Saccharomyces cerevisiae S288C: one gene and its partners. The gene in region 3 interacts genetically with the main gene of each other region. Each region holds a gene or a part of one and is shown on either strand. Other genes may lie near its edges. The genes, in order: ARE1, OPI3, ARV1 and ERG3.

The links.
Region 1: mutations in ARV1 (region 3) and ARE1 together harm fitness more than expected from each alone (negative genetic interaction), as found in Saccharomyces cerevisiae (5 studies listed by BioGRID, with this or other methods).
Region 2: mutations in ARV1 (region 3) and OPI3 together harm fitness more than expected from each alone (negative genetic interaction), as found in Saccharomyces cerevisiae (5 studies listed by BioGRID).
Region 4: mutations in ARV1 (region 3) and ERG3 together harm fitness more than expected from each alone (negative genetic interaction), as found in Saccharomyces cerevisiae (5 studies listed by BioGRID).

The regions. Positions count from the first base shown.
Region 1 is NC_001135.5:208,437-216,816, forward strand, and holds ARE1 (sterol acyltransferase), read left to right. Parts: upstream 1-3,492; coding exon 3,493-5,325; downstream 5,326-8,380. Other genes in the region: RRT12 (Rrt12p), read right to left, coding at 1-1,174; mitochondrial 54S ribosomal protein bL19m IMG1, read right to left, coding at 1,478-1,987; BUD23 (18S rRNA (guanine1575-N7)-methyltransferase), read right to left, coding at 2,282-3,109; YCR050C (uncharacterized protein), read right to left, coding at 5,028-5,336; YCR051W (uncharacterized protein), read left to right, coding at 5,635-6,303; RSC6 (Rsc6p), read left to right, coding at 6,558-8,009; threonine synthase THR4, read left to right, coding at 8,261-8,380. UniProt on the Saccharomyces cerevisiae protein: Sterol O-acyltransferase that catalyzes the formation of stery esters.
Region 2 is NC_001142.9:567,317-574,774, forward strand, and holds OPI3 (bifunctional phosphatidyl-N-methylethanolamine N-methyltransferase/phosphatidyl-N-dimethylethanolamine N-methyltransferase), read right to left. Parts: upstream 5,620-7,458; coding exon 4,999-5,619; downstream 1-4,998. Other genes in the region: YAE1 (Yae1p), read right to left, coding at 1-128; RFC2 (replication factor C subunit 2), read left to right, coding at 327-1,388; nucleoside triphosphate pyrophosphohydrolase HAM1, read right to left, coding at 1,490-2,083; LIA1 (deoxyhypusine monooxygenase), read right to left, coding at 2,305-3,282; GTPase NPA3, read right to left, coding at 3,651-4,808; Ran GTPase-binding protein MOG1, read left to right, coding at 5,779-6,435; HOC1 (alpha-1,6-mannosyltransferase), read left to right, coding at 6,665-7,458. UniProt on the Saccharomyces cerevisiae protein: Catalyzes the second two steps of the methylation pathway of phosphatidylcholine biosynthesis, the SAM-dependent methylation of phosphatidylmonomethylethanolamine (PMME) to phosphatidyldimethylethanolamine (PDME) and of PDME to phosphatidylcholine (PC).
Region 3 is NC_001144.5:621,806-629,605, forward strand, and holds ARV1 (sterol homeostasis protein ARV1), read right to left. Parts: upstream 2,079-7,800; coding exon 1,113-2,078; downstream 1-1,112. Other genes in the region: CSC1 (Csc1p), read left to right, coding at 1-1,016; putative signal sequence-binding GTPase GPN3, read left to right, coding at 2,398-3,216; methionine aminopeptidase MAP1, read right to left, coding at 3,363-4,526; CDD1 (cytidine deaminase), read right to left, coding at 4,697-5,125; palmitoyltransferase ERF2, read left to right, coding at 5,313-6,392; E3 ubiquitin-protein ligase IRC20, read right to left, coding at 6,879-7,800. UniProt on the Saccharomyces cerevisiae protein: Mediator of sterol homeostasis involved in sterol uptake, trafficking and distribution into membranes. Also regulates the sphingolipid metabolism. Required for growth during anaerobiosis and sterol uptake.
Region 4 is NC_001144.5:252,082-259,956, reverse strand, and holds ERG3 (C-5 sterol desaturase), read right to left. Parts: upstream 6,097-7,875; coding exon 4,999-6,096; downstream 1-4,998. Other genes in the region: REX2 (Rex2p), read left to right, coding at 1-219; glycine hydroxymethyltransferase SHM2, read left to right, coding at 556-1,965; putative mannosidase MNL2, read right to left, coding at 2,102-4,651; SAGA complex subunit SPT8, read left to right, coding at 6,877-7,875. UniProt on the Saccharomyces cerevisiae protein: C-5 sterol desaturase; part of the third module of ergosterol biosynthesis pathway that includes the late steps of the pathway. ERG3 catalyzes the introduction of a C-5 double bond in the B ring to produce 5-dehydroepisterol.

The DNA of each region.
Region 1 (8,380 bases), on a different chromosome or scaffold from region 3:
TCTCCTGTGCTATCATTTCAGGCTCAATTCCCTTCGAGAGTAGGATCGCTGCAACTCCGGTGACAATGGGCGTCGACATAGATGTACCTGACAAAATTAAAGTGTCGTTGTAGTTCAGATGAGATAGCGACTCAATTTCCACGCCTGGGGCAAAGATGTTTACACAGGGCCCCCAATTGCTGAACTTGGCAATCGTGTCAATGTGGTCATCAAAGGCCCCTACGGTGATAACGTTTTCTGCAGACGCAGGTGAGGCCCAGTAGGCGTCTAAATTGAAGTTCCCCGCCGCGGCAACAAATACAATACCTTCTTCAATGGCCCCCTCCACTGCCATGTTGATTATGGGGCTCCTGAAACTCCCTAGACTTAGATTGGCCACGCATTTTTTACCCTGTGGGCGACTGACCTTTGTGCAATGTTCCACGATGAACTCCAGACCACTAAGAACGTTACTGGCCTCGCCAGACCCGTCTTTGCCCAAGACTTTGACCTCCACAAGATTGACCCTCTTTGCCGCTCCATACGTTTTGGAACCTACGAGTCCCGCCACGTGCGTTCCGTGGCCATTCTGGTCGCCAAACCCTTCTTTGGTCAAGTCAATCCCCTGGATGACTCTGTCTTCGAATTCCGGATGGTCCGCGAAGATACCCGTATCCATGATATAGGCGTTGACGTCTTGACCTTGATAGTCGTGTTCATAGTAGTAATTGAACCAGCTTTTGTAGCGGTCCTTGTCCCCAACGTCGAATGGGAGTTGGTAGTGGCGGGAAATCCGGGCCAAGTGACGGGGTGCGTCTGGTTGATACGTTATATTTTGCTCTTCCTCGACGTCTTCGTACGAGTATTTGGCGGTAGCGTTAAACGTATAACTCGACTCGGCGCTATTTACACTGTCGCCTTCAAAAGCTTCGAACCTGAAGTTGGGCACAATATCAGCCACCAGTGGGCTTTTCTTCAGCTTGTTCACTAAGTTCTTGGACAGGTTCATGGTCACGCCGCGGAAGGATCCGATGGAGAATTTCTTCTCAATTTTGTTGTCGATGAACTGTCTCCATGACCTGTTGGAATTCGAAGTGAATTGTTGGAATGCTGTGGGATTTTTGAACCTCACCAAATACTCCTCTGCGTATGCGAGGTTGACCAGCAAAGAGATGAGTATGCACTGTGGCTTCATGACCAGTGTTTTTTTGCTGTTTTTCTTGGCGGATGTTAGAGGATGTCTAGCACTTGAGTATACCTCTATATGCTGTGTAAAATAGAAAATAAAAAAGCCAATGAGAACAATATTTTGTGTCGTTTTTTTTATTTTCGCTTCAATTCTCTATACACGTACGTCATCACTACGGGAAACCAAAAAAAAAAAAAAGAAAACAGTACAAAAAGGTTTACTTTACCCATAGTTAGTATACGTAGATTTTATACACGCACTATTTTTCTTATATACAGGAGATGGGTGGCCACAGAACCCGCGCCTAGCCTATTTCTTTCTTCTTAGACCTGCCTCGAGGTCGCCGACATCCAACCTTGTACCTCTGATGTAGTAGTGTTTGTTTCTTTGTCTGCTCGAGACGTGGGGGGTTAGCAAGTCGATTCTCTCGATCAGCGGCGAAAACAATGGCACTCTAATCTCGACGGCCGTCTTGGCTATCTGGTTCCGCAACAGCAACGAGGCGTCTTGCACCAGTTGTTTGCGGTCTATGGAAAGGATGTAGCCAACAAAGGTGTCGTACGAGCACTTGGACGAGTCGTACACAATCCGGACCACGTCGCCTGCCTTCAAGCGGTCCTTGTTCTTTTTACTGATGAGCTTCCTCTTAACGGCCCCGGGATCCAGAGACTCTATTTCTGAGAGGGCCACCTGCTTCATAATCTGCGACGAAGCTATGCGCTGCACAGGTGGGTACACGGGGATGGTTTTTCTCTTGGTGGCGGGGACCATGTAGGACCTTGTCCATGATCCAAGCAATCTGACGTTCCTGCTCCACATCGCTATGGTTCTCTCTCCCTTTCAGCAGCTGCTCAGAGGGAAGACTCGATTCTTCTTCTTCTTCTTTACTGGGAGTTCCAAAGCACCAAAATTGAAAACCAAGAAAAAAAGGAAAATACATCACTACATAAAAGTGCGCGGAGCCATTGACCACTCACATACAGATATAAGTGTATATATACAAGTATACATATACAAGTATACATGTAGAAGGAGACAGAGACAGAGGGAAATGTATAAGTGTGTATTTTTATAGTATACAAAAGAATATGCGTGTGAGGATGTGTGTTTCTTCTAGAACCTGTGTCTTCTTTTCCTCCCGGTGAACTTGGAGTCCTTCGCAACTTTCCTCCCACGTCTTTTCATGAGCTCCTTCTTTCTTAGAATGAAACTCTTGGCAGACTCCTTGTCTTTGCCTCCCTTCAAGCGCTGGCGCAGTTGTTTCTTCAAGTTGACGTTCTCCTCGTCCATGGTCACACCGTCCAAATTCACCTGCTCCTCCCCCTGCGGTGGGGCCCCACTGCTCAACACAAGGTAGTACTTCTTATTCTTTTTAGACTCTGGGTCGTCCACCACAAGCCCGCCACTGAACCCTGCCACCTTGGCAGACTGCAGTATGTCGTCCACCTGGTCGTCGTTTTTCGGGTAGAACTGGGCCACAAATTTCCCTCCCTTCTTCAGTGCAGCATACAATGTGTTGAAAAACCTCATCAACCGCTGTTTAGGATCGTTGTATGAAGTGTCCGCATTGCACAGCCATTGGATCGCACTGATACTAATAGCCGCGTCAAACGAGCCCGCCCGGAACGGTATCCCGGTGCCCATATCCTGCAACATCAAGTCGCCCTCCAGCTCTCTACTAAGACCGGTCGCAAGCATGCTGGGCGATATATCCAAACCACACCACACATGGTCTCCCTCCTGCGTCAAAATCTCCCCAGACAGTCCGGACCCGCACCCGATATCCAGAATGAAACTGCACGGCTGCAGATTCAAAAGCTCCAACGCCCTCAGCGTCATCTTCGCCTGGATATGCTGCACTCTGGTCGAACCCGTGTACTTGTGTGCTTCGCTATCATTATAGAAAATCTCCGGTGGTGCCAACTCCTCAGGACGTGACATTATTTCTTCTCTGATATATTTCCTGTGTTTCCGTACCGCACCTTTTTAGCACTACTTTTTTACTATGCTCTTCTTCTTCTGCTTCTTCTGCTTTTTTCCTCTTTATCACACTATGTATGTGCTGCTCATCTCTTCTTTTTATCGATAAAATTGAAAAATGTGAGATGGTGTAGAGTGAAAAAAAAAAAAAAATCTGGCTTGGCCATCAAATACCCGGCCGTGGTTGGACTCGTTTAGCGAACAATAGCACCCAGCAGACCCTGGCAACATGCGGATGATATAAGAAGGACGAGCGTGGTGGAGGAAAGGGGCGCCATTGGCACACTCACGCAGGTGGTTGTTCAGCACGGCTTGCAGCAAGAGCGCCAAAACAGATTGCAAGAATGACGGAGACTAAGGATTTGTTGCAAGACGAAGAGTTTCTTAAGATCCGCAGACTCAATTCCGCAGAAGCCAACAAACGGCATTCGGTCACGTACGATAACGTGATCCTGCCACAGGAGTCCATGGAGGTTTCGCCACGGTCGTCTACCACGTCGCTGGTGGAGCCAGTGGAGTCGACTGAAGGAGTGGAGTCGACTGAGGCGGAACGTGTGGCAGGGAAGCAGGAGCAGGAGGAGGAGTACCCTGTGGACGCCCACATGCAAAAGTACCTTTCACACCTGAAGAGCAAGTCTCGGTCGAGGTTCCACCGAAAGGATGCTAGCAAGTATGTGTCGTTTTTTGGGGACGTGAGTTTTGATCCTCGCCCCACGCTCCTGGACAGCGCCATCAACGTGCCCTTCCAGACGACTTTCAAAGGTCCGGTGCTGGAGAAACAGCTCAAAAATTTACAGTTGACAAAGACCAAGACCAAGGCCACGGTGAAGACTACGGTGAAGACTACGGAGAAAACGGACAAGGCAGATGCCCCCCCAGGAGAAAAACTGGAGTCGAACTTTTCAGGGATCTACGTGTTCGCATGGATGTTCTTGGGCTGGATAGCCATCAGGTGCTGCACAGATTACTATGCGTCGTACGGCAGTGCATGGAATAAGCTGGAAATCGTGCAGTACATGACAACGGACTTGTTCACGATCGCAATGTTGGACTTGGCAATGTTCCTGTGCACTTTCTTCGTGGTTTTCGTGCACTGGCTGGTGAAAAAGCGGATCATCAACTGGAAGTGGACTGGGTTCGTTGCAGTGAGCATCTTCGAGTTGGCTTTCATCCCCGTGACGTTCCCCATTTACGTCTACTACTTTGATTTCAACTGGGTCACGAGAATCTTCCTGTTCCTGCACTCCGTGGTGTTTGTTATGAAGAGCCACTCGTTTGCCTTTTACAACGGGTATCTTTGGGACATAAAGCAGGAACTCGAGTACTCTTCCAAACAGTTGCAAAAATACAAGGAATCTTTGTCCCCAGAGACCCGCGAGATTCTGCAAAAAAGTTGCGACTTTTGCCTTTTCGAATTGAACTACCAGACCAAGGATAACGACTTCCCCAACAACATCAGTTGCAGCAATTTCTTCATGTTCTGTTTGTTCCCCGTCCTCGTGTACCAGATCAACTACCCAAGAACGTCGCGCATCAGATGGAGGTATGTGTTGGAGAAGGTGTGCGCCATCATTGGCACCATCTTCCTCATGATGGTCACGGCACAGTTCTTCATGCACCCGGTGGCCATGCGCTGTATCCAGTTCCACAACACGCCCACCTTCGGCGGCTGGATCCCCGCCACGCAAGAGTGGTTCCACCTGCTCTTCGACATGATTCCGGGCTTCACTGTTCTGTACATGCTCACGTTTTACATGATATGGGACGCTTTATTGAATTGCGTGGCGGAGTTGACCAGGTTTGCGGACAGATATTTCTACGGCGACTGGTGGAATTGCGTTTCGTTTGAAGAGTTTAGCAGAATCTGGAACGTCCCCGTTCACAAATTTTTACTAAGACACGTGTACCACAGCTCCATGGGCGCATTGCATTTGAGCAAGAGCCAAGCTACATTATTTACTTTTTTCTTGAGTGCCGTGTTCCACGAAATGGCCATGTTCGCCATTTTCAGAAGGGTTAGAGGATATCTGTTCATGTTCCAACTGTCGCAGTTTGTGTGGACTGCTTTGAGCAACACCAAGTTTCTACGGGCAAGACCGCAGTTGTCCAACGTTGTCTTTTCGTTTGGTGTCTGTTCAGGGCCCAGTATCATTATGACGTTGTACCTGACCTTATGAACTGCCACCATACCACGTGTGTCCCTCGCAAGCCCTTGATAGATATACAATAGGGAATGGGCGTCCGCTCCACCGTGGTCAAAGACAGGGGCAAAGAGCTCCTAGGTCTATATATATATCTATATACATATTTATATATATTATTAGAACTTTACAATATAGTATATACCATTCATTGTTTAAGTTTCGGGTAATACTTTTTTTTTCCTTGTCATAACCCCAAAAATTTTCGATGCCTTTGATATAATTGAGAACAAGAAGAGTTTGCAGGTGACAAAAATCGATGATTATAGGTGTTGTGACGACAAAATGAACGCTAATATATGGGTGGCTGCTTCAGATGGTAATTTGGACCGAGTGGAACATATCCTCCGCGAGAGTAAAGGCGCCATGACCCCGCAATCCAAGGACATTAACGGCTACACTCCAATGCATGCTGCCGCCGCATACGGCCACCTGGATTTGCTGAAGAAAATGTGCAATGAGTACAATGGAGACATTAATGTGTTGGACAACGACGGCGATACCCCGTTGCACCATGTGGAGGATGTGGCCACTGCCAGGTTGATCGTGGAAGAGCTGGGTGGAGACTTCACTATCAGGAATGTGGAGGGCCAAACGCCATACGACTCGTTCGTCGAGAACGGTGAAGATGGTGAGCTAATCGAGTACATGAGGATTAAGTCCGGCGTGGCCGATGTTCACGGAGTGGACGGCGTGCAGGGTGAGGGTGTCATCGACAGCAAATTGCTGGAAGAGTTCAAGGACAACGTGAGATACACCTTGGAAAATGACCCTGAGGAAGGAGCCGATGAGGCCACTCTGCAACGCAGGAGGCAGTTGGAACAGATCATTACGGGAGACAACGCTGAGGAGGAGTTGGAAAGGTACATCCGTGCTATGGTCAGAGAGCAGATGCTGGGCCAGGGCTCCATGGCGGGTTCCGGGGACGAACCAGATTCCAAGAGAAGAAAATAACGACCCAGCACAAAGGCTCTTACAGCTTGCTAAAAGAAATTGAACGCGACGCTACATGAACTACTTCTTTCTCTTACATAGTCTTTTCCCTTATGTATCTTTTCTGTACATTAATAGACGTTCTTACAAGGTAAAATTTCACCGCGTTTTTAAATAGAATGAAAAAAACGTTGTAGAGTGAAAGAAAAGCAACAAATATACAGTTCACAAGGCAGCTTCGTATAGTAATACAGCACGAAAAACAGCTCATAGAAATGGTAACACAGACCAATCCGGTCCCTGTTACATATCCAACGGATGCTTATATCCCCACGTATCTGCCCGATGATAAGGTCTCCAATCTGGCAGATTTGAAAAAATTGATAGAAATGGATTCCAGACTAGATTTGTATCTGACAAGAAGGAGGCTGGATACGTCCATCAATTTACCTACAAACACCAAGACCAAGGACCATCCCCCCAATAAAGAGATGCTGAGGATTTACGTCTACAACACTACGGAAAGCAGCCCTCGCAGCGATTCTGGCACCCCAGCGGACTCAGGCAAGACTACATGGACACTGAGAATAGAAGGTAAGCTTCTGCACGAGTCCGCAAACGGAAAGCACCCATTTAGTGAGTTTTTGGAAGGTGTCGCGGTCGACTTTAAAAGACTGAAACCGCTGGGCATGGGCAAGAAGAGGAAACGCGATTCGTCATTGAGCCTTCCTTTGAATCTGCAACAACCCGAATACAATGATCAAGATAGCACCATGGGCGATAACGACAACGGCGAGGATGAGGACAGTGCAGAGGCAGAATCCAGGGAGGAAATTGTAGACGCACTGGAATGGAACTACGATGAAAACAACGTTGTGGAGTTTGATGGTATCGACATCAAGAGGCAAGGCAAGGATAATTTGCGATGCAGTATAACCATCCAGTTGAGGGGTGTCGACGGTGGAAAAGTACAGTACTCGCCCAACTTAGCTACCTTGATAGGTATGCAAACGGGCTCCGTTAATGACGCGGTTTATTCGATCTACAAGTACATTTTGATCAACAATCTGTTTGTTACGGAACAAACAGAGGCTCAAGATGGTTCCAACGATGCCGAAGACAGCAGTAACGAGAATAACAATAAAAACGGTGCTGGTGACGATGATGGCGTCGAGGGAAGTACTCCAAAGGATAAGCCCGAATTGGGTGAAGTGAAGCTAGATTCACTCTTACAAAAGGTATTGGATACAAACGCCGCGCACCTCCCCTTGATGAATGTTGTGCAAACCGTGAACAAACTGGTATCACCCCTACCGCCCATCATCCTAGATTATACAATTGATCTTTCCAAAGATACCACCTATGGTGCTACCACCTTGGATGTAGATGTGTCGCACATTCTCCACCAGCCTCAACCCCAGCCAAATTTACAAAAAGAGGAAGAAACAGATGCTGAAGACACAGCAAAACTACGTGAAATCACAAAGCTTGCCTTGCAGTTGAACTCTAGTGCTCAAAAATACCAGTTTTTCCACGAACTGTCTTTGCATCCAAGAGAAACGCTGACTCACTACTTATGGTCTTCCAAGCAAAACGAGCTTGTGCTGCAGGGCGACCAATACTTCAATGAAGATGCTGCAAGAACGAGTGACATATACAGTAACAACAACAATGACAGGTCACTAATGGGCAATATCTCACTACTGTACTCCCAAGGAAGACTATAACATCACTGTATGATCTCATTCTTTCTGCAATTATTGCACGCCTCCTCGTGAGTAGTGACCGTGCGAACAAAAGAGTCATTACAACGAGGAAATAGAAGAAAATGAAAAATTTTCGACAAAATGTATAGTCATTTCTATCAATAACGTATACACGTTTTTTTAATACTATCTATATTGTGTATCTTATATTTTTCCATTTGGTAGTATAGCAGCAAATATTTGTTCTTAGACGGCCACCATCCCTCACACCAATGCCTAACGCTTCCCAAGTTTACAGATCTACCAGATCCAGCTCTCCAAAGACAATCTCTTTTGAAGAGGCTATCATTCAAGGTCTGGCCACTGACGGTGGTCTTTTCATTCCACCAACT
Region 2 (7,458 bases), on a different chromosome or scaffold from region 3:
TTAGAACTCACTATTCCGTCCAAGTACCCCCTCTTGCTATGATTCTCTCTTAACTTCACTAAATCTGGAGATCGTTCAGTTTCGACATCACTGTCTGATGCCCATACATCGTCCCAAGTATTCGACATCTCTATATACTATTGTAACACTGTTCCTTTTTTGTTCTCTTCTATCAAAAACCTTTCTCATCGTTATTTTTCACTCTTTTACTTCGCGTATTTCAAAGCAATCAGGAAGTAACTCAAGCGAACAAGTCAATGCTATAAGAGAAGTAAAATAGAGAGACAGCGAGAAATACTGGGGGAAAGTATTGGCAATCACTTGAGATGTTTGAAGGGTTTGGTCCAAATAAAAAGCGTAAGATATCAAAGTTAGCCGCAGAGCAATCATTGGCACAACAACCCTGGGTTGAGAAATACAGGCCCAAAAACCTAGATGAAGTGACAGCTCAAGATCATGCCGTTACTGTTTTGAAGAAAACCTTAAAGTCAGCTAATCTACCACATATGTTGTTTTATGGTCCCCCAGGAACTGGTAAAACGTCTACCATTTTAGCGCTAACAAAAGAATTATATGGACCCGACTTGATGAAATCAAGAATATTGGAGTTGAACGCTTCTGACGAACGTGGTATCTCTATTGTAAGAGAAAAGGTAAAAAATTTTGCAAGATTGACTGTATCCAAGCCTAGCAAACATGACTTGGAGAACTATCCGTGCCCACCGTATAAGATCATTATTCTCGATGAGGCCGATTCAATGACTGCCGATGCACAGAGTGCATTACGTAGAACAATGGAAACCTATTCAGGAGTAACAAGATTCTGTTTGATTTGTAATTATGTGACAAGAATTATTGACCCGCTAGCGTCCCGTTGTTCCAAATTTAGATTCAAAGCCCTAGACGCAAGTAATGCCATTGACCGTTTGAGGTTTATCAGCGAACAAGAAAATGTTAAATGTGATGATGGAGTTTTGGAAAGGATCTTGGACATTTCGGCAGGTGACTTGAGAAGAGGCATTACATTATTACAATCCGCTTCCAAGGGGGCGCAATACTTGGGTGATGGTAAAAACATAACTTCTACCCAAGTGGAAGAATTAGCTGGTGTGGTACCTCATGACATTCTAATAGAAATTGTTGAAAAAGTCAAAAGTGGTGATTTTGATGAGATTAAGAAATACGTCAATACGTTTATGAAAAGCGGTTGGTCTGCTGCGTCAGTAGTTAACCAACTACATGAATATTACATCACCAACGATAACTTTGATACGAACTTCAAAAATCAAATATCTTGGTTGCTGTTTACTACGGATTCCAGATTAAACAACGGAACGAACGAGCACATCCAATTATTAAACTTATTGGTTAAAATATCCCAACTCTAATATACAGGCATCTTTATATAATTGAATATAGAGGCGACATAAAGTAAGAATAAAAAAAAAAAAATCTATCCATAATTCCTCTTATCTTCTCAGCACATCACCTAAAAGTCATTTTGATACAAGTACTCTTTAAACTGAGCGAAGGCTTTACCACGATGAGAAATAGCATTCTTTGCGTCTTTGCTCATCTCTGCGTAAGTCAGTCCATGACTATCAAAAGGTTCAAAAATTGAATCCCAGCCGAATGTAGTGGGTCCCCGGCTTGGAACGATCTTGCCTCTTGTAATACCTTGAAAGAAGTGATATTCACCCCGAGAATCAGCAAAACAAATGGTGGTAACTGCTTCAGCGTTTTTATTTTCAAAGGGTTCCAACATTTTCACAATTTTTTCCAATCCCATGCTCTTTAAAAACCATTTTATATAAGCACCTGGTAGACCGTTAAATTCGTCAAATCTCAACGCAGTGTCTTCCACAAACACTGGCTTACCCTTACCCAAGGCCGCAACAGCTTGCTTTCCCTTAGCTAACGCAATGGCATTCAGATCCGTGTCCTGCAATTCTTCCAGGTCTAAGGCCTCATTGATTAAGTGGATGGTTTTGTTGTTGTTGTCGACCTCTTGAGTCAAAATCGACTGCACTTCCTTTAACTTGTTGGCATTGCCAGTGACAAATACAATTTCGTTGTTGCTCATTCTGCTATCGTTCGTTTTTAGATATCTCTATGTGAGTGTTTCCTATGCTTTGAAGACCAGTGTTGAAAGCTGAAGCTCGAGAGAACGGTTTCGAAAATAAATAATTTTTTTGCTATTTGATACATTTGTATATATAACGGAAATGGCGGGTTTTGAAAAGTATAAAATACAAGATTATACAATGATTATTGTTACTATCATTATTGATGATGCTGATTCTTCTAATTAGCAGTTGGAGCATATTCTAGTTCGTTGCTGTTTTCGTAATCATACATATCTAGCGCAACGATACAAGATTCTCTGACGACATCGACTTCATCGTTGAGGTAAGATTTCAAGACGTCGACAACTTCTGGAGAAGCAATGGCACCCAAGGCTTCAGCAGCTTCATGCCTAACCATTGGAGCTTCTTCCTTTCTGCCCAAAACTTCAATCAAACTTGGGACAGCAGCCGGACTACCTATTTGACCGAAGACGTAGGCGATTTCATGCTTGAAAAGGGAGGATTCTGCACTGAAACCAGTGGCCAAGGCCAGGATTGCTTCATCAGTACCGATATCTCTCAGTCTGAACATGGCTCTGTATCTTTGGAACAAAGGTTGCTTAGGATCATTCAATAAGGCCTGTAGTTCTGGGATGGTAGCATCCTTTTCTAATGGTAGAGGTGGGGCTGGGTCAATACTCGAGTATAGGGATTGTTGCAAGTTTTCCTTATCCTTGGCACCTCCATGGGTCCAGTTGATTCTGTTAATGGCCAGTTCACAGGTTTCTCTCACAGCAACGTGTGGATCCTCCTTAGCAGCCTTATTTAGGTCATCCAACGAATCCTTGTCACCTAGGGCACCCAAAGCCTCAGCGGCTTCGTGTCTCACCATTGGTTCTTGATTTTGATCTAACATAACGTGTCTTAAAGTTGGAGCAGCGTCCAAGTTCTTGGTTTGACCCAACACGTAGGCCACTTCGTGCTTCAACAACTCAGACTTGTCATTGACGAAGGATTCGGCAATGTATTCGATGGCCTTTTTGGCTTCCTCTGGCTTAGTGGCAAATTCTTCAGCAACAGTCTTTAAGTTGAACAGAGCTCTAAATCTGTTGGCCAAAACTGTTTTGCCGGACTTGTTGACTAAGATGTCCCTTAGTTGCTCTAGAGTGCATTCATCGACGTTTTCTTGGAAATGTTTTTCAAAGTTAGTAGACATGTTTTTTTTTTTCTTTCTTGCGTGGTATGTTAGAAGGACTACAGTTTATCCTAACCTAAACCTAGAGCTACCGTCAAATATACACGTGTATTCACTGGATTTGCCTTATGTAATTTATATGATAAAAACTTTTCAGCTCATCGAGAAAAATTTTCTTTCCTCCCACGCAGGATAGAGAAAAAAAAAAAATTTTTTTTTTTTCTTGTTTCTCACTGCATTCTACAGGGATTTCTGTGGAAGGATTACCTCTATTGTTCAAAAGATAATAAACGTGGGAGTTTATCTGACGTTCGTCTTTGCAATTCCATTGTCTTTTTTTTTCTCTGCGGGTCGAATGATCGCCGAACCAAAGGACTATACGTAGTTATTTAGTTTCTAATATACTTCGCGATATTTTCTGCAGTCTCGCTACTGGCCGTTTTCCCTACTTGTTGCATAGCTTCCTGATATCTCCTTTGTAGGTCTGGAGCAGAGTTCTCGTTGACCTCACCTTTTGTTCTTTCTTCGCCTGGGAACGTGTATTCTCTCTCAACGCCTTCGTCCTCATCCCTATCCACAAGACCATCATTGGCATCCTCTTCGAGGTCGCTAATGGCATCTATGCTGTCGTTGTCGCTGGCTGCAGCGCTGCTCTTCTCGTTTAACCCTAGATCCTTCATCAGGCCATTCAATGATTTTTGCTTTCTCATCTCTTCCTTTTTCTTTTTTAGGTTCAATGCTTTTTCACGTTCTTGCTTATAGTATTGGTCGTATTCATCAACTTTCTTGTCTACGCATTGCATAAATTCGTCGAATCCGTCTCCGGTAAAACTGGAAACGCCCACGACGTCTAGCTGGGAATAGAATTCTTCAAGCATCAGTGACATAGAATTGACCAATGAGCTCATGTACCCGGAGCCCAGCCCATTGTCACCATTCAAGTCTTGATCTTCCTTGATTGCTGCTTGGAAACTCTCAAAATCCGTCATCCATTCCTTAGCAAAATCTGCCTTGCACACGTCGGTCTTGTTGAAAACGACAATCATGGGAAGTTTGGTCTTATACAGAATGGAGCAGGCGTACAGCATGTTACTCATGAATGTAGTTGGGGATGAGTTTCTAGGCGTATCCACGATATATGCAATCACTGTGGGAAAGCTGGAGGCAAAAGATTCCGTGATAATGGCACCCGACGCACTCCACACAAAACATTCGATTTGGCCTGGAGTGTCGATGATGCAGTTTTGGAACTTGTCCTTCTTCTGTTCCACCAACCTAATAACTTGATCAATCTTGGTGCTGAACAAATTCAAACTGGTGACAATGGCACCGTTCGGACCTAGCTGGTAATTCTCCATCACTTTCTTGTATTTGATTGAGTCTCTGATATCGATGTTTGCACCATAGGGGACTCTCAATACTGCAGGATCAAGATTGATTACGTATGGTGGCGTTTTCTCTGCCCGCAAGTGGGAGTTTAACCTTTGCATGAAAGTTGTTTTACCGGATCCGGCCATACCAATACATATGATTGTGCTGAGACTCATTCTTGCTGTGTCGTTATTGCGTTTTGTAGTTGTTTGTGTGCGCTAGATGCTCTCATTGTATTCCTTGTTAAATAGAGCATCGCATTAAAATTTTTTTTTTTCACTTTCGCGAAGAAATTGCTTATGGAGCTATATAGAAACGGTAATAGCATAGGCTTCTAACATTATAGAATATATAGAAATAGAGCACTTACATATTCTTTTTGGCCTTATCACGGTTAGCGTAGATCATGGCAGTAAAAGGTTCTTCCCAACGAAGAGCGATCTTGTACATGAAGTAAACTACGGCAGAAACAACCAGCCCCGCAGGCTTTCCTTTGTAAAGGGCTATGCCCAAGAAGGACAAAGTGGAACCCTGGTACATGGGGTTGTTGGAAACGTTGAAGGGGAAGCCGGTGACTCTCTCATCCATCAGGATGCCGAAATAGTCACCCAAGTACGTCCCTGTGATACCCAGCTTGTACATGGAACTCAAAACAAGCACTTGCCCCAAACCAAAGAGAGCCACACCCAGCTTGGTCCAGTTCTCGCCCGTGATCAGAGAACACGTAGGCTGTTCACGCAATGCAGACTCGTACACCATGTCTCTGACGATACCTAGCGAAAATATGGTCGCCGCCAACATGTAACAGCCCTTTCTGGCCCCACCACACATCTTGGTGAGAGAATGCTTGTGGTATTCCATTCTTGCAACGATGTTCCAAAAGATAGGATTGAACATCGTGCACACAATGGCCAGCTGGAACTTGGAAGACTGTAAATCGACACTGTGGATGAGTTGCTGGATGATCTCTTGGACTGACTCCTTCATCGCTTGACTTGCGCTATTCTTGTTGTCTTCAATTGCTGTTTATGGCTCTGTCCAAGAACGTTCATGTTCTTCATATGTGTTCTCTTATAAAGACCCCTTATCCAGTGGTCATTGCAGTGGCAGTGGACAGAAACCAACGATGCATGTGTGGGTTTGCATATGAAGATTGAAAAGGCTTCTCATATTTCACAACCGGTGCAACTTTCCACATGCACTCTCATTGACACCTACCCTGGTCATCAAGGAAGCATGAACAACAAGGAAGTCGAATTATACGGCGGCGCCATCACTACTGTCGTCCCACCTGGGTTTATAGACGCTTCTACTCTAAGAGAAGTCCCCGATACACAGGAGGTGTACGTCAATTCCCGTCGCGATGAAGAAGAATTCGAAGATGGACTAGCCACCAATGAAAGCATTATCGTGGATCTCTTGGAGACGGTCGACAAGAGCGATCTGAAGGAGGCTTGGCAGTTCCACGTGGAAGACCTGACGGAGTTGAACGGGACCACCAAATGGGAAGCTTTACAAGAAGACACTGTTCAGCAAGGAACCAAGTTCACCGGACTCGTTATGGAAGTAGCAAATAAGTGGGGAAAACCAGATCTGGCACAGACCGTTGTCATCGGCGTAGCGTTGATCAGATTAACCCAGTTTGACACGGATGTGGTCATCTCCATTAATGTACCTTTGACAAAGGAGGAGGCGTCGCAAGCAAGCAACAAAGAGTTGCCTGCAAGATGTCATGCTGTTTACCAATTGTTGCAAGAAATGGTACGGAAGTTTCACGTTGTGGACACGTCGCTGTTTGCTTAATCTTTCAAATTTTAACCTTATGTTTATATTACCTTTTTATTTCTACTATATAGCGTATTACATGTTTTTTCCGATAAGTATAACGAAATTTCCCAGCAGCGAAGAAAGTGAAAAAATAACAGTGACCATAATGAACATTCCTCTCTTTCCATTTTGCACGTATTCTTGCAGAGAAGAGGCACTCTACTCGGAAGACAGCAGATAGATATATAGACTGTAGCGGTTAACGATGGCCAAAACAACAAAAAGAGCCTCCAGTTTCAGGAGGTTGATGATATTCGCCATAATAGCCCTCATCTCATTAGCATTTGGAGTTAGATACCTATTTCACAATTCTAATGCTACTGATTTACAAAAAATTCTGCAGAACTTGCCCAAAGAGATTTCCCAAAGCATTAATAGTGCCAACAATATTCAGAGTTCGGATTCTGATCTAGTTCAACATTTTGAGAGTTTGGCTCAGGAGATCAGACACCAACAGGAAGTTCAAGCAAAGCAATTTGATAAACAACGTAAGATCCTGGAAAAAAAAATCCAAGACTTGAAACAAACACCTCCGGAGGCCACCCTAAGAGAACGCATAGCTATGACTTTCCCCTACGATTCCCATGTCAAGTTCCCAGCATTTATTTGGCAAACTTGGTCCAATGATGAAGGTCCCGAGCGTGTTCAAGATATAAAGGGCATGTGGGAAAGCAAGAATCCGGGCTTTGCGCACGAAGTGTTGAACCATGACGTGATAAACGCACTAGTACACCACTACTTCTACTCCATACCGGAAATCCTAGAGACTTACGAAGCTCTGCCCTCCATCATCCTAAAGATAGATTTTTTCAAATACTTAATACTGTTAGTTCATGGAGGTGTTTATGCTGACATCGACACGTTCCCTGTTCAGCCAATTCCAAACTGGATTCCTGAAGAGTTGTCGCCATCCGACATTGGGTTGATAGTTGGAGTTGAGGAAGACGCTCAAAGAGCTGACTGGAGAACCAAGTATATCAGAAGACTTCAGTTTGGTAC
Region 3 (7,800 bases):
TTTCAAGTTTGTTTTTAGTCATTCCTGTATCATACTTAGCCACATTGCTAAATTTGAAAACACTTTCGAAATTCTGGCCAAGCGTAGGGCAGCTACTAAAAGATCACCAGTGGGCCGCTAACATTGTAACGGGGCTATTACCAACCTATCTCTTCACATTGCTTAACTTTGGAATCCCCTATTTTTACGAGTATTTGACTTCTTATCAAGGATTGGTATCATACAGCGAAGAGGAAATCTCACTTGTTTCAAAAAATTTCTTTTATATTTTTGTCAACCTTTTCTTAGTTTTCACATTGGCAGGTACAGCATCTAATTACTGGGCGTACCTCAGCGATACCACCAAAATTGCTTATCAACTTGCTACATCTGTGAAGGAGTTCTCCTTATTCTATGTCGATTTGATTATATTGCAAGGTATTGGTATGTTCCCGTTTAAGTTGTTATTAGTTGGTAGTTTGATCGGCTTTCCTCTAGTGAAAATCAAGGCTAAGACACCTAGGCAACGGAATGAACTTTACAATCCACCGATATTTAACTTTGGACTACAATTACCACAGCCAATTCTGATTTTGATTATAACGTTGATCTACAGTGTAATGAGCACGAAAATTTTGACTTCAGGGCTGGCGTACTTTATTATTGGGTTTTACGTCTATAAATATCAATTGATTTTTGCCACAGATCATTTGCCCCATTCTACAGGAAAAGTATGGCCATTAATTTTTAGAAGAATCATCGTTGGATTGCTATTGTTTCAATTAACAATGACAGGAACACTGGCAGGATTCGAAGGAGGATGGGTTTTGTCATCTTGCCTTTTCCCGCTTCCAGTAGTGACATTATGTTTCCTATATGATTTCGAGAAGAACTATTTGCCGTTGTCAAAATATATCGCATTGAGTTCAATTCGCGAGTACGAAAGAGACAATTCTACGGTGAATTCTGCCAATGAGGAAGAGTCGTATGCATACCCTTACGCTGTGAGTGAATTAGAGGGTCCGATGTTGGATTGAAATCCCAAGGTGCTATTTCTATATTTATATATTTTGTTGTGAAAATGCCAAAATAAGATTTTTGATACAAGTAATACTGGATATTTTTTTATTTGCTTATAACAATAAATAAGTTCCTGACTTCTGTAGTAGTAGTATAAACTCCTGATGTATTAAATTCTTAATAACTGAAAAGTTAAACTTTGCCACGAAAACTATAAGTATTGGCTTAACCATGAAATATCGTAATAAAGACACACTTATAAAAATCTTTATGATATTCCAATAGGAAAGATTAGTTACAATCTTCAACGATTCAATAATATAGAGATTAGCTACCCACTTAATGATACTCATCGAAATTAGAGTATCATAAGGCCATATCAACATCAATATCGGAAAAATTTTGGCACCGTACGATAATAAGATCGTATATGATATGACATCCTTTGAAGAAACGGAATAGTGCTTCCAATGCAACTTTTTCAGTATGAAATACTGGGTAAAGGTGTGGAATAAAGAAACGTCAAGAATACAATAACTTGCAAAGTAAAGATATTGTATTGGTGGGCTCCAGGTAAACACTTTACTTGTAATGGTATTGCGCATGATTGCCGAGTCCCATTTGAAGCTCTCTGGTAATTTTTTTGAAAGCATGATGAGCTTACCATCATTATTGTTACGGTTCAAATAGTAGATGTATTTACTCTCCTCAGTAACCCAAGTTAAATAAATCTCGAATGATAATAGTAGAAGCCAAAGGCGATTTAACCGGTCATATTTACAAAACCAGTTCTTTACGTTAAATAACAAAGCTTGCGTATAGTCACGCAAACACTGGCAATCATTTAGCGCTTTTCTTTTCGGATATTTTGAGAGATGCAATTCCAAAGCATTGAATACCAAGTGTCTATATGCACCTGCTTTTAATAGAAGCAAATCAATGAATAACAGGACATTATCTATCTCAACATATTTGTCTACTGTCTCTTGGCAATATGGACAATCTGTCAGCTGAATGTGGTCATTCGAGTACACTGTATAAAGGGAATCTACGGGCCGCATGCACGTTATGCAAATCATCGTTTATCACAGCTAATATCTACTTTTTGATGCGCTTCATCCGTTCACTGACGCACCAAACCTTCCTTCTATGCAATGACAAGAATTTCTCAGCTTGATTTATGCCATTGATGTTTCTGAATCATCAATTGTTCACATAGGGCTATTCAATTTGGCCCGCTGTCCCTAAACTGAAAAAATACTAAGAAAAATTTTGCAAAAAATCTAAAATGATGAGGTGAAAGATCAAAAAAGAAAGATCAATAATTAAGAGGTTGGCAAGTCATCCTGATCGTGAAAAAAACTTAACAAGTACAAATAGAGTAATCAGCATTGGAAAATGTCTCGCGTTGGTGTCATGGTATTAGGACCTGCAGGTGCGGGGAAAAGCACATTTTGTAATTCCATTATATCACATATGCAAACTGTAGGACGAAGAGCTCATATTGTAAATTTAGACCCTGCCGCAGAAGCTACCAAGTATGAATTTACTATTGACATTAGAGATTTAATTTCCTTAGATGATGTCATGGAAGAAATGGATTTGGGCCCCAATGGTGCGCTAATATATTGCTTCGAATATCTTTTGAAAAATCTAGACTGGCTTGACGAAGAGATCGGGGATTTCAACGATGAATATTTAATCTTTGACTGTCCCGGTCAAATTGAACTCTACACGCATATCCCTGTCTTACCGAACATAGTGCGCCATTTAACTCAACAACTGAATTTCAACCTTTGCGCCACATATCTTTTGGAAGCGCCATTTGTGATAGATAGCTCAAAATTTTTTAGCGGTGCACTATCTGCTATGTCTGCGATGATTCTATTGGAACTACCCCATATCAATGTGTTGAGCAAACTAGACTTGATAAAAGGCGACATCAATAAGAAAAAACTGAAAAGATTTTTGAATCCCGATGCAATGTTATTAATGGAAACGGAAGGAATGAATCAAGCATCCAACCCTAAATTTCTAAGACTGAACCAGTGCATAGCCAACCTCGTCGATGATTTCGGTATGGTTCAATTTTTACCTTTGGAATCTAATAATCCTGACAGTATAGAAACCATATTATCGTATGTCGATGATATAACACAATGGGCAGAAGGACAAGAACAGAAAGAGCCTAACGACCAAATAGATGTCGAAGAATAGTTATAGAGAAAATTATGTACGCTTGATTCATATAAAAAGAGGTAAAAAAAAAAAATAGCTTCTCATAATAACCAATTCGGACTCGGGAAAGTACAAGTTCAAGTTTTTTATTGGTTTCTATATGTATAAGATAAAAATACCTAGATCTATTTAATTCTCTGTCTTGGGCCACCTGGTGATTTCTTATTCCTGGCTGTTAGGATTTCAACACCATGTTCGGTAACCAACAGTGTATGTTCAAATTGAGCACTCAGTTTACCGTCTTGGGTGGTAGAAGTCCAGTCATCAGGCCAGGTCATATCCTTCCAAGTACCTTCATTAATCATAGGTTCGATGGTGAAAACCATACCTGGTTTCATAACACCAGGTGTTCTATTCTTGGCGTAGTGGGGAATATTTGGGGAACAATGGAAAAATTCACCAACACCATGTCCACAATAAGTTCTTACTACACTGCACTTATTTTCGGTAGCGTGTTTTTCAATATGATCACCTAACTCTTGGAAGGTGGTACCTGGCTTACACATTTTAATGGCTAGTTTCAAACATTCTCTTGAGGTCTCAGTAGTATTAAGAGCTTCCTTAGAAATGTTTTCGCCGACATAATATGTCTCATTCAAGTCTGCATGATAACCTTGGTAGTATAAGGAAACATCTAAATTGACAATATCACCTTCCTTCAAGACAGTTTTATCGGGCACACCGTGACAAATAACTTCATTGACAGAGGTACAAAGCGATTTAGGAAAGTTGTAATAATTAAGAGGGGAAGGGTAGGCACCTCTCTTAATTGTTTCATTGTGGACGATTTCATCTAATTCATCTGTAGTGATGCCTGGTCTGACATGGGCAGCGGCAATATCAAGAACTTCTCTACCCAACATACATGCCTTTCTAATCTTCTTAATTTGATCTTTCTTGTATATAGGGATGTTGTTAAGTCTATCATTTCTTTGTTCACTGACTGGTAGCCCATTAGCGGCCCAGTCCGGTTTAGGAATATCTTCAGGGACATACCTTCTTGGGGTAAGTGGATATGAAGCCTTCACTTTACCAGAATATTTGAATTTTGGGAAAGGATCATAAGCACCTTCCAAGCCGTCCTTAGCATTGTGCAAAGCTTTGTGAGCTTTGTAGTTGTTTTCATAACAGCTTGTGTCGCAGAAAATGGAAACGATGCCTTGTTTTAGACAAACAGGGCATTTCATTTGGGACGAAGTTTCTCTACCACATTGCAAACCGGAGCAATATATCTTGGTAGGATGAGAAGCCTGATCGGAGGTAGTAACTGTTGTAGTTGCAGTGCTCATTATACAATTTTTTTGCTTATTTTTTTCTTGCTAGGAATATACACAATAGCGTTCTTGGGATGAATAATAATAATATCAGTTTTTCTTCTTTATATGAAAAATGAAAAAAAAAAAAAATAAGTAAAAAATTTTCGCTTTCTTTTCGGGGAGCAGCCAAATAAAGATTGCTGCTAGTTTAAATGAGATGGACCAAAAGCCATGGGCAGCAGTTCTCCCATTGTCATGACTTTAGAACGAGAACCTGTGGAATTAAGCATGACTATTGGAAAGTCCTTGACCACAAATTCATTGATAAACTGCCTGCAAACGCCGCAAGGGGAAACACACTGGTCCTCAGAATCGCCACAAATGACCATGCATTTCCATCCTGAGCGATGGCCTGCCATTAGAACTTGTATCATAGCAGATCGTTCTGCACATATACAATTACTGTAGCTTGCATTCTCGACATTAGCACCAGTGAAGATAACATCGTTATTTGTTAATATGGAACAACCGACACGGAAGTGAGAATAGGGGCTATAGGAGAGTTCACACGCCTTCAGTGCCGCCCTTTTTAAGGCTTCCAGTTGTCTGTCTTCTATGCCACCTACTTTCATTACCTTATTTCTCTGCTTGAGATTCTCTGTTTGGTTTTCCTAGTTTCTTGTACATAAACAGTTTGTGTTTATTTTGTCAAACTACTCGGAAATTGGCGAGCAGCGCCTTATCAAGATTACAGTTTGCAAATATAAAAATGTAAAGGAAAGAAAGCGTAAGGTAACAAGAAGAGAAACGGGGAAGATAATGGCCTTGGTCTCTAGAAGGTCGACAAGATCGGAAAGCACCTCAATAACAAAGGAAGAGCATACAGGAGAAGGTTCATTGACGAAGTTGTTCTTCCGATGGCTTGTTACCTTGGAGGGTGATCAGGATATAAACGATGGAAAAGGTTATATATCGTTACCGAATGTCTCGAATTATATATTCTTCCTTGGTGGCAGGTTCAGGACAGTAAAGGGCGCCAAACCGTTGTGGTTAGGTGTTCTCCTTGCTATTGTATGTCCCATGGTTCTCTTCTCCATATTTGAGGCTCACAAATTGTGGCATACCCAAAATGGTTATAAAGTGCTGGTCATTTTCTTCTATTATTTTTGGGTCATAACGCTAGCATCCTTTATCAGAACAGCCACTAGTGATCCTGGCGTTCTTCCGAGAAATATTCATTTAAGTCAACTAAGAAATAATTATCAGATCCCGCAAGAATATTACAACTTGATAACACTACCAACACATTCTTCAATTTCAAAAGACATTACTATCAAGTATTGTCCATCATGTAGGATATGGAGACCACCTCGGTCTTCTCACTGTTCCACATGTAACGTCTGCGTAATGGTTCATGACCACCATTGCATATGGGTCAATAATTGCATAGGAAAAAGGAACTACCGGTTCTTTTTAATATTCCTGTTAGGTGCAATACTTTCGTCCGTCATATTATTAACTAATTGTGCCATCCATATTGCACGGGAATCAGGGGGGCCTCGCGATTGTCCCGTTGCAATATTGTTACTTTGCTATGCAGGGCTAACCTTATGGTATCCGGCAATACTGTTTACTTATCACATATTTATGGCAGGTAATCAGCAAACAACAAGGGAATTTTTGAAAGGTATTGGATCGAAAAAAAACCCTGTATTCCATCGTGTGGTCAAGGAGGAAAACATATATAATAAGGGGTCCTTTTTGAAAAATATGGGTCACTTGATGTTAGAACCAAGGGGCCCAAGCTTTGTAAGTGCCAGAAAGCCACATGAAGCTGGAGATTGGAGATTTATGGATTTATCGCCAGCACACAGCTTTGAAAAAATACAGAAAATATAAGGAAGTATAGATATAAAGAACTCAGCGACACAGTAGTACGTAAAATATAAAAAGGTTACTGAAAGGAGTGAATTCCGCCATAGTATAGGTTGAGTATACGCAAATAAACGTTGGAAATTGGCTAGAATGTTAAAAAAAACATTCATTAAAAGGTTCTTTTCGTATAACTTTTACAACAAATAAGTGGTTGTTTGGCCGAGCGGTCTAAGGCGCCTGATTCAAGAAAATATCTTGACTGCAGTTAACTGTAGGAATACTCAGGTATCGTAAGATGCAAGAGTTCGAATCTCTTAGCAACCATTATTTTTGCCTTCCGAAAATTTTGAAGCTACATATTAGCACTCTTCTTCAGATGTCAGACAACGTGCAGCATCTTTTTTTCCTACCATTGAATATATATATAGTAATTACGGCAACCGTTTATATAAAAATTCAAAAGATTAAATATTTTAATATATTAGTGTCTGGTTTAAAAGTCATACTTCTCTAATCACTACCGTGAAAAAAGCAGTTCCATAAGTGTTCATTACTGACTTCTTGGTCTACCACGCTTATCTCAAACTTCGCATCATCGCTTTCCTCATTATCCGTTTCATCTTGTGCTTCGTCGTATTTATCGCCTTTTTTTGACTTCTCCTTTCTTTTGCGCTCTTCGAGTATACATTTATATCTGAGGATGTTTTCTTCAACGGTATTTCTGATCATGAAATTCCACACAAAAGTTTCTTCATCTTGTCCTATACGATTATTCCTTCCCATAGCTTGTAATTCATCACTATTATTAAGGATAGGATCTAGTAGGAAAATATGTTTTGCATTTATCAAATTCAGGCCGGCACCTAAAGTTTTCACATTCAAAAGTAGGCAAGTGACGGAAGGCTGGCGTTTGAAGTTATTTATAGTTTCGCCAACATTGGCTGTATTAGATAGACATGCCAAGTGTTCAATGTGATACAACTTTAATACCTTACCAATGACCTTTAAATATTCTGTCTTTTGAGAGTATAGAATAACTTGTGGCGGATCAGCGTTTTCCTGCTCACTTTTTAGCCTCAGGTAAGATATTAACTTGATGACGAAATCAATCTTAGCACCAAAACTTTCCTTTATGTGAATTTGATGGACTTCATTAATTTGATGGAATTGCTCGTATTTATTTCCGAATAATTTTTCTACTTCACTCATATTGGATATAATCGAGTTTTCATTTGAATTATCTTGAGACGAATCGGCGCCCTCTCTTCGTGGCTCTTGAATTTCTTTTTCCCTCTTCTCCGTTGAGTTCTTGAACTTAAAGTTATAGACTTCCGATATACTACAGAAACCTTTGCATATAGGGCATTTACTATGGGCTCGTAGCCACGTAAGGATACAACTCTTGCAAAAATAATGTCCACACTTAATGATA
Region 4 (7,875 bases), 370 kb from region 3:
AGACACAATCCCGCTTTACAAGCACGTAATCCAAAAAAAGAAGCTGCCCACACTGCTTATAGTGATATCAAAGAGAGCATAGCTCAATTGCAATGGTACATGGACAACTACTTGAAGCCACCACAGGAAACAGAGTCGGTCGAGTCAATCGGATCTGAACAGCCGGAGTCACCATCTTCATCTACCTCATCTTTGAAAAGACAACGCACCGATTTTTAATGTAGAAAAAAAAAAAGAAAAAAGAAGTGAAATTTTTCAAATATTTCACACACGAAACATGACTCCTGGTGAGAAATGACCCTTTCAGGTTGCTTTGACCATAAAGGTTTGACTCTATCTCTTGGGTTTCTCATGTTCGCTTTTTACTCTGTATAATTTTTAAATTCATAATCATCTTAGACCGAACCATGAGTCTTCTTCATCTTGTTTTATATATAATGCAGAACTTGCTTCCCTTAGTTTGCGTTCAGTAATCTTTCCTTCTTCTAGTGTAACCTTTACGAAAGATACTACCCCATAGCAAAGCATAACAGCTTAAACCGAATCCTCCTTAACATGCCTTACACTCTATCCGACGCTCATCATAAGTTGATCACCTCTCATTTGGTGGACACCGACCCTGAAGTGGACTCCATTATCAAGGATGAAATTGAAAGACAAAAGCACTCCATCGATTTGATTGCTTCTGAAAATTTCACCTCAACCTCCGTTTTCGATGCCCTTGGAACTCCATTGTCCAACAAATACTCTGAAGGTTATCCAGGTGCTCGTTACTACGGTGGTAATGAACACATTGACAGAATGGAAATTCTATGTCAACAAAGAGCTTTGAAAGCTTTCCATGTTACTCCAGACAAATGGGGTGTTAACGTCCAAACTTTATCTGGTTCTCCTGCTAACTTGCAGGTTTATCAAGCTATTATGAAGCCTCATGAAAGATTGATGGGTCTATACCTACCAGATGGTGGTCATTTGTCTCACGGTTACGCTACTGAAAACAGAAAAATTTCTGCTGTTTCCACATACTTCGAATCTTTCCCATACAGAGTTAACCCAGAAACCGGTATTATCGACTACGATACTTTAGAAAAGAACGCCATCCTATATAGACCAAAGGTTCTTGTTGCTGGTACTTCAGCATACTGTCGTTTAATTGACTACAAGAGAATGAGAGAAATCGCCGACAAATGTGGTGCTTACTTGATGGTAGACATGGCCCACATTTCTGGTTTGATCGCCGCAGGTGTCATCCCATCTCCTTTCGAATACGCTGATATCGTTACCACCACCACTCACAAGTCTTTGAGAGGTCCACGTGGTGCTATGATTTTCTTCAGAAGAGGTGTGAGATCTATCAACCCTAAGACCGGTAAGGAAGTTCTATACGACTTGGAAAACCCAATTAACTTCTCTGTTTTCCCAGGTCACCAAGGTGGTCCACACAACCATACCATTGCTGCTTTGGCCACTGCTTTGAAGCAAGCTGCCACTCCAGAATTCAAGGAATACCAAACTCAAGTCTTGAAGAATGCTAAGGCTTTGGAAAGTGAATTTAAGAACTTGGGCTACAGATTAGTTTCCAACGGTACCGATTCTCACATGGTTCTAGTATCCTTGAGAGAAAAGGGTGTTGATGGTGCTCGTGTTGAATACATTTGTGAAAAGATTAACATTGCTTTGAACAAAAACTCTATTCCAGGTGACAAATCTGCTTTGGTTCCAGGTGGTGTCCGTATTGGGGCTCCAGCCATGACCACTAGAGGAATGGGTGAAGAAGATTTCCACAGAATTGTTCAATACATTAACAAGGCTGTAGAATTCGCTCAACAAGTTCAACAAAGCTTGCCAAAGGATGCTTGTAGATTAAAGGACTTCAAAGCCAAGGTCGACGAAGGCTCTGATGTTTTGAACACCTGGAAAAAGGAAATTTACGACTGGGCTGGCGAATACCCATTGGCTGTGTAAAGAAATCACCACAACGACACTTAATCCCAAAAAAATAAACATTACTGTATAAGTATTCATTTTCTCCTCTTCTCATTATGTATATATGTACCTATATGTATGTATGTATGTGCGTACGATTTTTCTAACGTTAACTTCATTTCTTTTTGATTATGTGCCCTCCTTGAGTTAAGATGTGTTTGTCCAGGGAAACCTTGTCACCATCGCTGAATAGTAGCAAATAGTATTTTAATGTTCTGGAGAACCAATAGCTAGGTAAATCATTGTTCACTTTTTCACCGTTTTCATAAAATTCCTTTATTTGCCACAATCCTTTGGCACCACTGTTTAGTTCCATTAATTCTTGCATTAAGATTCCAAAAGACTGCTTACCCATGCTTCTCCATTTTTGTTCTCCACTGATTCTGTACATATAAAATATAGATTCAATGATATTCGAATCCAACAATCTTCTGGATTCTACCTTGTTGACCCAAAATGGCCAGTCTGGATGGTTTTTCCACTGAGAACCCATGGTATCGTCCGTTGTAATATGCGGTTTGATATCCTTACCAAGCGTAAAAACTCTACGTATTTGCGTTACTTCGTCGCCGTCTATTTCAGCAATCGATTTCGAGCTTCCAACAGTATCACCTTTTATGTTTTGAGTCTCTGTTATCCCATCTTTGCTTAGTACATTTCTCTTAGCTTTCTGGTCATTCCCACCTTTCCCATAATTCGAAACTTTGATCCCGACATCTAGGTCATTTTCAAAAGTTTCATATTCGCCGTTGGCAATCATTCGTGATTTAGTTTCGCCGTTAAACTCGCAATTCCCATTAGTCTCATCAGTGCAAGGGTCCAACTCGAATTTTTGAGGGAGCAGCCCGTCGAACTCCTCCATTAGCATAAAACAACTTTCTGTTATTATTTCGCTCATTTCCAATAGTGACGATGGTAAAATATATTTCGTGTTGACACCGCCTCGGTGGGGAACACGTGAACTTAAACCTAGAATGCCGCCAAGTCTGCATGAGTATAACGAGACATCGTAAGATTTTCTTATCGTGACATCTAGCTCATTAGTCGTGGGCATGAATTGAGATTTTGTTAGAATGGAATTCAGAAAATTAAACTTTTTGTTTTCCGTTTGCTTGGGCAACATGGGTCGAAAAGTCATGAATTTAAAAATGTTACTGATGGAATTTGTTAAAAACGTTTGCGAGTCTATTAATGATTTATCACCTACGGTGTTTTTTGTCGAATCTTTTTTAGTACCGTCTTTAAAGTTTCTTTTCTCAATTATTTCGTCGACTGCTTCTACCTCTGAACCAATACTGGGGTCCATCGTTGCAGCATTAGCATTTTTACTTGAGCCGTCCAGGATATCATAAGAAGATTGGAAGAGGTCATTGATTTTGAATAGATTTTCTAGAATGGGTACTGTTTTTTCATTAATTCTATAAGCCTGGTATTGAGATTGTTCTTGGAGGCTATTATCATCTATTGGAGGATTTAAGAATTTCCCTAACTGCTGACAGTGTACGAACTTGAAATTTTCATTGATACTTTTCATGATGCTGGATCCCTTTAGGTGTGCACCATTCTCAATTTCCTCTTGAGTTAATAACTGGCAACCAGAGGCATCAACGACGTCAGGCAGCATAAACTCCATATCAAATTCGTTATATGATTGACGTATAGTGGTGAAAACTCTTTCAACAGCATCAAAATACTTATTCAAACGGGTTAACTGTGACAATCTGATAAACGCGAGTGCCATAGTAGTCAATTGACCTGATGGAACAGTACGGTCTGGAAATCGATTTCTCAGATCAGATTTCCAAAAATATTTCAAAATAGGAATTCTATTAGGGGTATCAAATGATCTTAATATGAAATCTGCAACATGTTTTGCTTTGTTAAGTAATCGTTTATCCATAGATAATTCGTATGCAGACAGTAACCCTTCTAGGACACGGGTAGTGATGTCAGGAATATCAATAACTTCCATTGCTAACGGAGGTACTCGAAAGTCAAAATCTTCTATTATATTAACAGAATCTTGAAAAAGTTTCGTCTCGCCACATAGATACAATGTATCTAGAGAATCAATTAGATCTATGGGCCAAGTAGATTCCCTTCTGAGGTTACTTTTCAGCAGCAACTGCTCTTGGTTCCATGATTTCATGAAAATGTCCTTTATCTGTTTTATCATATCAACATCTGGTGGCAATTGCATTGCCGGCTGTATCTTATGAACGTCATTCTGGCTTATAGAAGTTAAGGAAGGTGATGAGTATTCGAACAAGACGGGATACTTTTCCTTATATGTCAAAAGAGACGAAATTGGTAAATTCGAACCAATCTGGTGAGACGATCCCTTTAACAGCAAGGGAAAGTACTTGTTTTTTTCTCTCAATGTAGCTGGATCTGACAAATCCACTGCAACGTTGCCATTTTCCTTGTCGGTGGCTATTCGGTCAGAACCGGTTGACGATAGGTCTGGAGGATCCAGTTTCGAAGAACCTTCTGTATTGTGCTCATAGTTGTTTATGGACGGTAGTGAGTCGTTTAAAGCGTACGAATTCAAGATATCGATTTCATTCTGGAACGTATAGTAAAACAATAGCGATATGGTAATGAAAAGTAAGAGAACCGATCGTACTCTTCTGAAAAGAGAGTATACTAATCGCGCTATGGACATAAGGTTTTGCTTATAGAGTAGTGGCGGCCTTTTTCTAGTTAACACTTGCGCTTCACCGAAATCTTGGGCATTTTAAAGCTTCCAGCTTCCTATTTGCCTGTTCTTAAATTTTCCAGCTCTTCGATTTTCTGTTTTTTTTTTCACTAGAATAGGAAAAAGAGCCATTAAATGAACGCAAAAATTTAATATACGAATAGCGCATATTGCACTAACGTGAGGTGTACATCATAATGATATGCGTATCTTAAAACATGTATGTGTATATAAATATATAAACGTTATTCGTTGTGTGAAAGTTCTTGAACGTGAAAGAAAGAAAAAAGATGAGACAAACAAGGCAACCGTATTCAGTTGTTCTTCTTGGTATTTGGGTCGTTTTCATAGATTCTATCATTATCATCACCTTCGACCTCCTTGATGAAATGTTCAACTTCCTTAACTTGAGCGTCCCAGGTCTCCTTAGCATCTCTTAACTTAGGATCAAACAATGAGTCATCTGGTCTACGGTAAGAACCCCCTAGTCTGTCCCACAGAGTGGTGAATTGACCGTAGTTGTAGTTGAAATATAGATGGTGAACCGTGTGGCAGGCAGTACCGTTGACGGCAGGATTGTTTGATAGGTATTGACCGTCATGAATCATAACAGTCCAAAAGTTAACAAAAGTGAACAGAATCAAATAAGAAACCTTGTGTAATGGCAGAATCAATGGGTAGATGTGGTACGAGATGGATTGCAAAAACCCGTCTACAGGATGGAAAGAATGAGATGCGAAAGGTGTGCAGACCAGCCACTTGTGATGAGGCTTGTGCAGAGCACGGTAGACCCTTGGCCAATGCAACCATCTGTGCGCTAAATACACACCGCAATCAGTGAAAAAGATGAAAGTGAAGTACTCGATAATGAGCTTCCTTACACCGTGGTTTTCATAATCAATCTTCATGTATAGTTTAGAATGGCCGTTCAATTCCATAACAAACCATGGAACGGTCAACATCGACATCCATGGGATAGCACTGACTGCCAACTTGATTTCCATTGCCATTTGGTTTTTCAAGTAACGAGGATGGTTGAAAATCGACTTGTCAAACACAAACACGTAGCTGAGACTAGCCGTGAATAAGTAAAGTAGTAAACCAAAGATCGTAACAATAACCCATAGTGAGAGGAATTCTCTCAAGATGCTGGAACGAGGCAATAGCGATGCAAAAGACGTCGTCGACATATCAAACAGGAATGGCACCTGCCCGTAGAACCTTCTACATTCTTTGACGGCATTCTTGGAGTTCAAAGTCTCCTGCAAAATCGTAGAATTGCTGAACCCACTGTTCAACCCTAGCAATTTCTGCCACTTGACAGGAATATTAGCTGCCAACGAAGCGGGCAGAACTTTAGCGTACAAGTCGTCTAAGACATAATGGTCAGCGACTTCTAAGACCAAATCCATATCTCAAATCTAGACGAATATTTTTCTTATTATCTTTTTTTACAAATGCAACAAACTGACCTCCTCTGCAACCACTTCAAAGAACAAGACAAATGTAAAGAATGAATGAACAAGTGAATGAAAAAACGAATTGATAAGAAAGATAGAAATCCGCCTCTAATATATACCGCGATGTTTCTTTCGACCGTTACATAATAGCAGCAACAACAATACCCGATCGCTGCTGAACCTCTTGTTTCAATGCACCTGCTGTTCTTCTTCACCTTCTATTGTGCCACTTATACGAGCCTGAATTTTTCGTTTATCGCAGCCATCGGCCTCGTATACACCCCGGTTGCCCTGGGGCGCAACTAAACGACCGAAATAATGCCCGGGAGTTTTCGGGTGGTCTGCCCCGGGCACCGATCTCGGTCGTTTAGGCCGCAGTGGGTCGTGCCACACGGCAGCGATGCAAGGGACAACGCGTCGTAACTTGCGATGCCCGACAATCGCAACAAAAGGCGTCGTTTCGCGGTTTTTTCGTATCATTTTTTTTTTCAGTTTTTCTTCTTTCGGCTATGAAAAAAATGGCAGAGCTGCCCTAATCTATTTTTATGGATGCCCTAATATATTGTCACTCTGTACGTAGGGCTTCCAGAATGCCCTTTCAGGAAGGATTCTAGCATAATAGACGCATCATATATTATAGCGTAGTGGTGCCAGATGCTGGGCTGTAAAAGGCTGTAGCAGTAACTGTAGTGTACTAAAGGCTCAGTTTTTTTTTTTTTCTTCTTTTACGTAATGGACGAGGTTGACGATATTCTAATTAACAACCAGGTGGTGGATGACGAGGAGGATGACGAAGAGATGCTGAGTGGGCTGGAAAACGACTCAAAGCAGGACCTCGAGGGGAATGATGACGGTGGTGAAGATGAAGAGGATGACGATGATGATGATGAGGACGATGATGATGACGAGGACGAACGAGAGGACGACGATGAACAGGAGGACGACGATGGTGAGGACGACGCCGCAAGAATGGATAAGACTGCTACACCGACGAATGAGCACCAGCATGATGAGCAAAAGGCTGCTGCTGCTGGTGCTGGCGGTGCAGGCGATAGTGGCGATGCTGTTACTAAGATTGGATCCGAGGATGTGAAATTGAGCGATGTTGATGGAGGAGTGGGGTCCAGGGAAGCATCTTCCTCTACACACGAAGCCTCTGCTAATGGAGAGGTTTATGAGTACTATAAGCACATGTTGAATGCCGCACAGATTGCGGATTCGTACAATATCTACCCCACGGCAGCCATACCCATCCAGACGCACGTCAATGCGTTGGCCGTGTCCAGGGGTCTCAAGTACCTGTTTTTGGGCGGTAGCGATGGATACATAAGGAAGTACGACTTGCTGAACACGCTTGAGGGGAAACTTTCTCTAACTATCCTGCAGAAGCATTCGTTGGCTGAGTCTATTCAGAACGCGGGTATCTTGCAGTCGTACTGGGAAAATGAGATCCCGCAGAAAAAATCAGAAATGAAACTCTCCGCTAATAAGACAGATTACGAGCCCAAAGTTAGCCCCGTTCATTCTTTGGAAGTCCAAAGCGAATGCCTCTTTATACTGAGCGGGCTACAGAATGGTGGGATTACCATGCAGGGCGTTCGCTACATGGAGGGGAGCATTGCGCACTATTTTAAGGGCAGGAATGGACATACCCAAATCGTTAACATACTGAGATTAAACGGTCAAGAGGACAGGTTTTTGAGTGGTTCCTGGGATAAGCGTCTTTTGGAA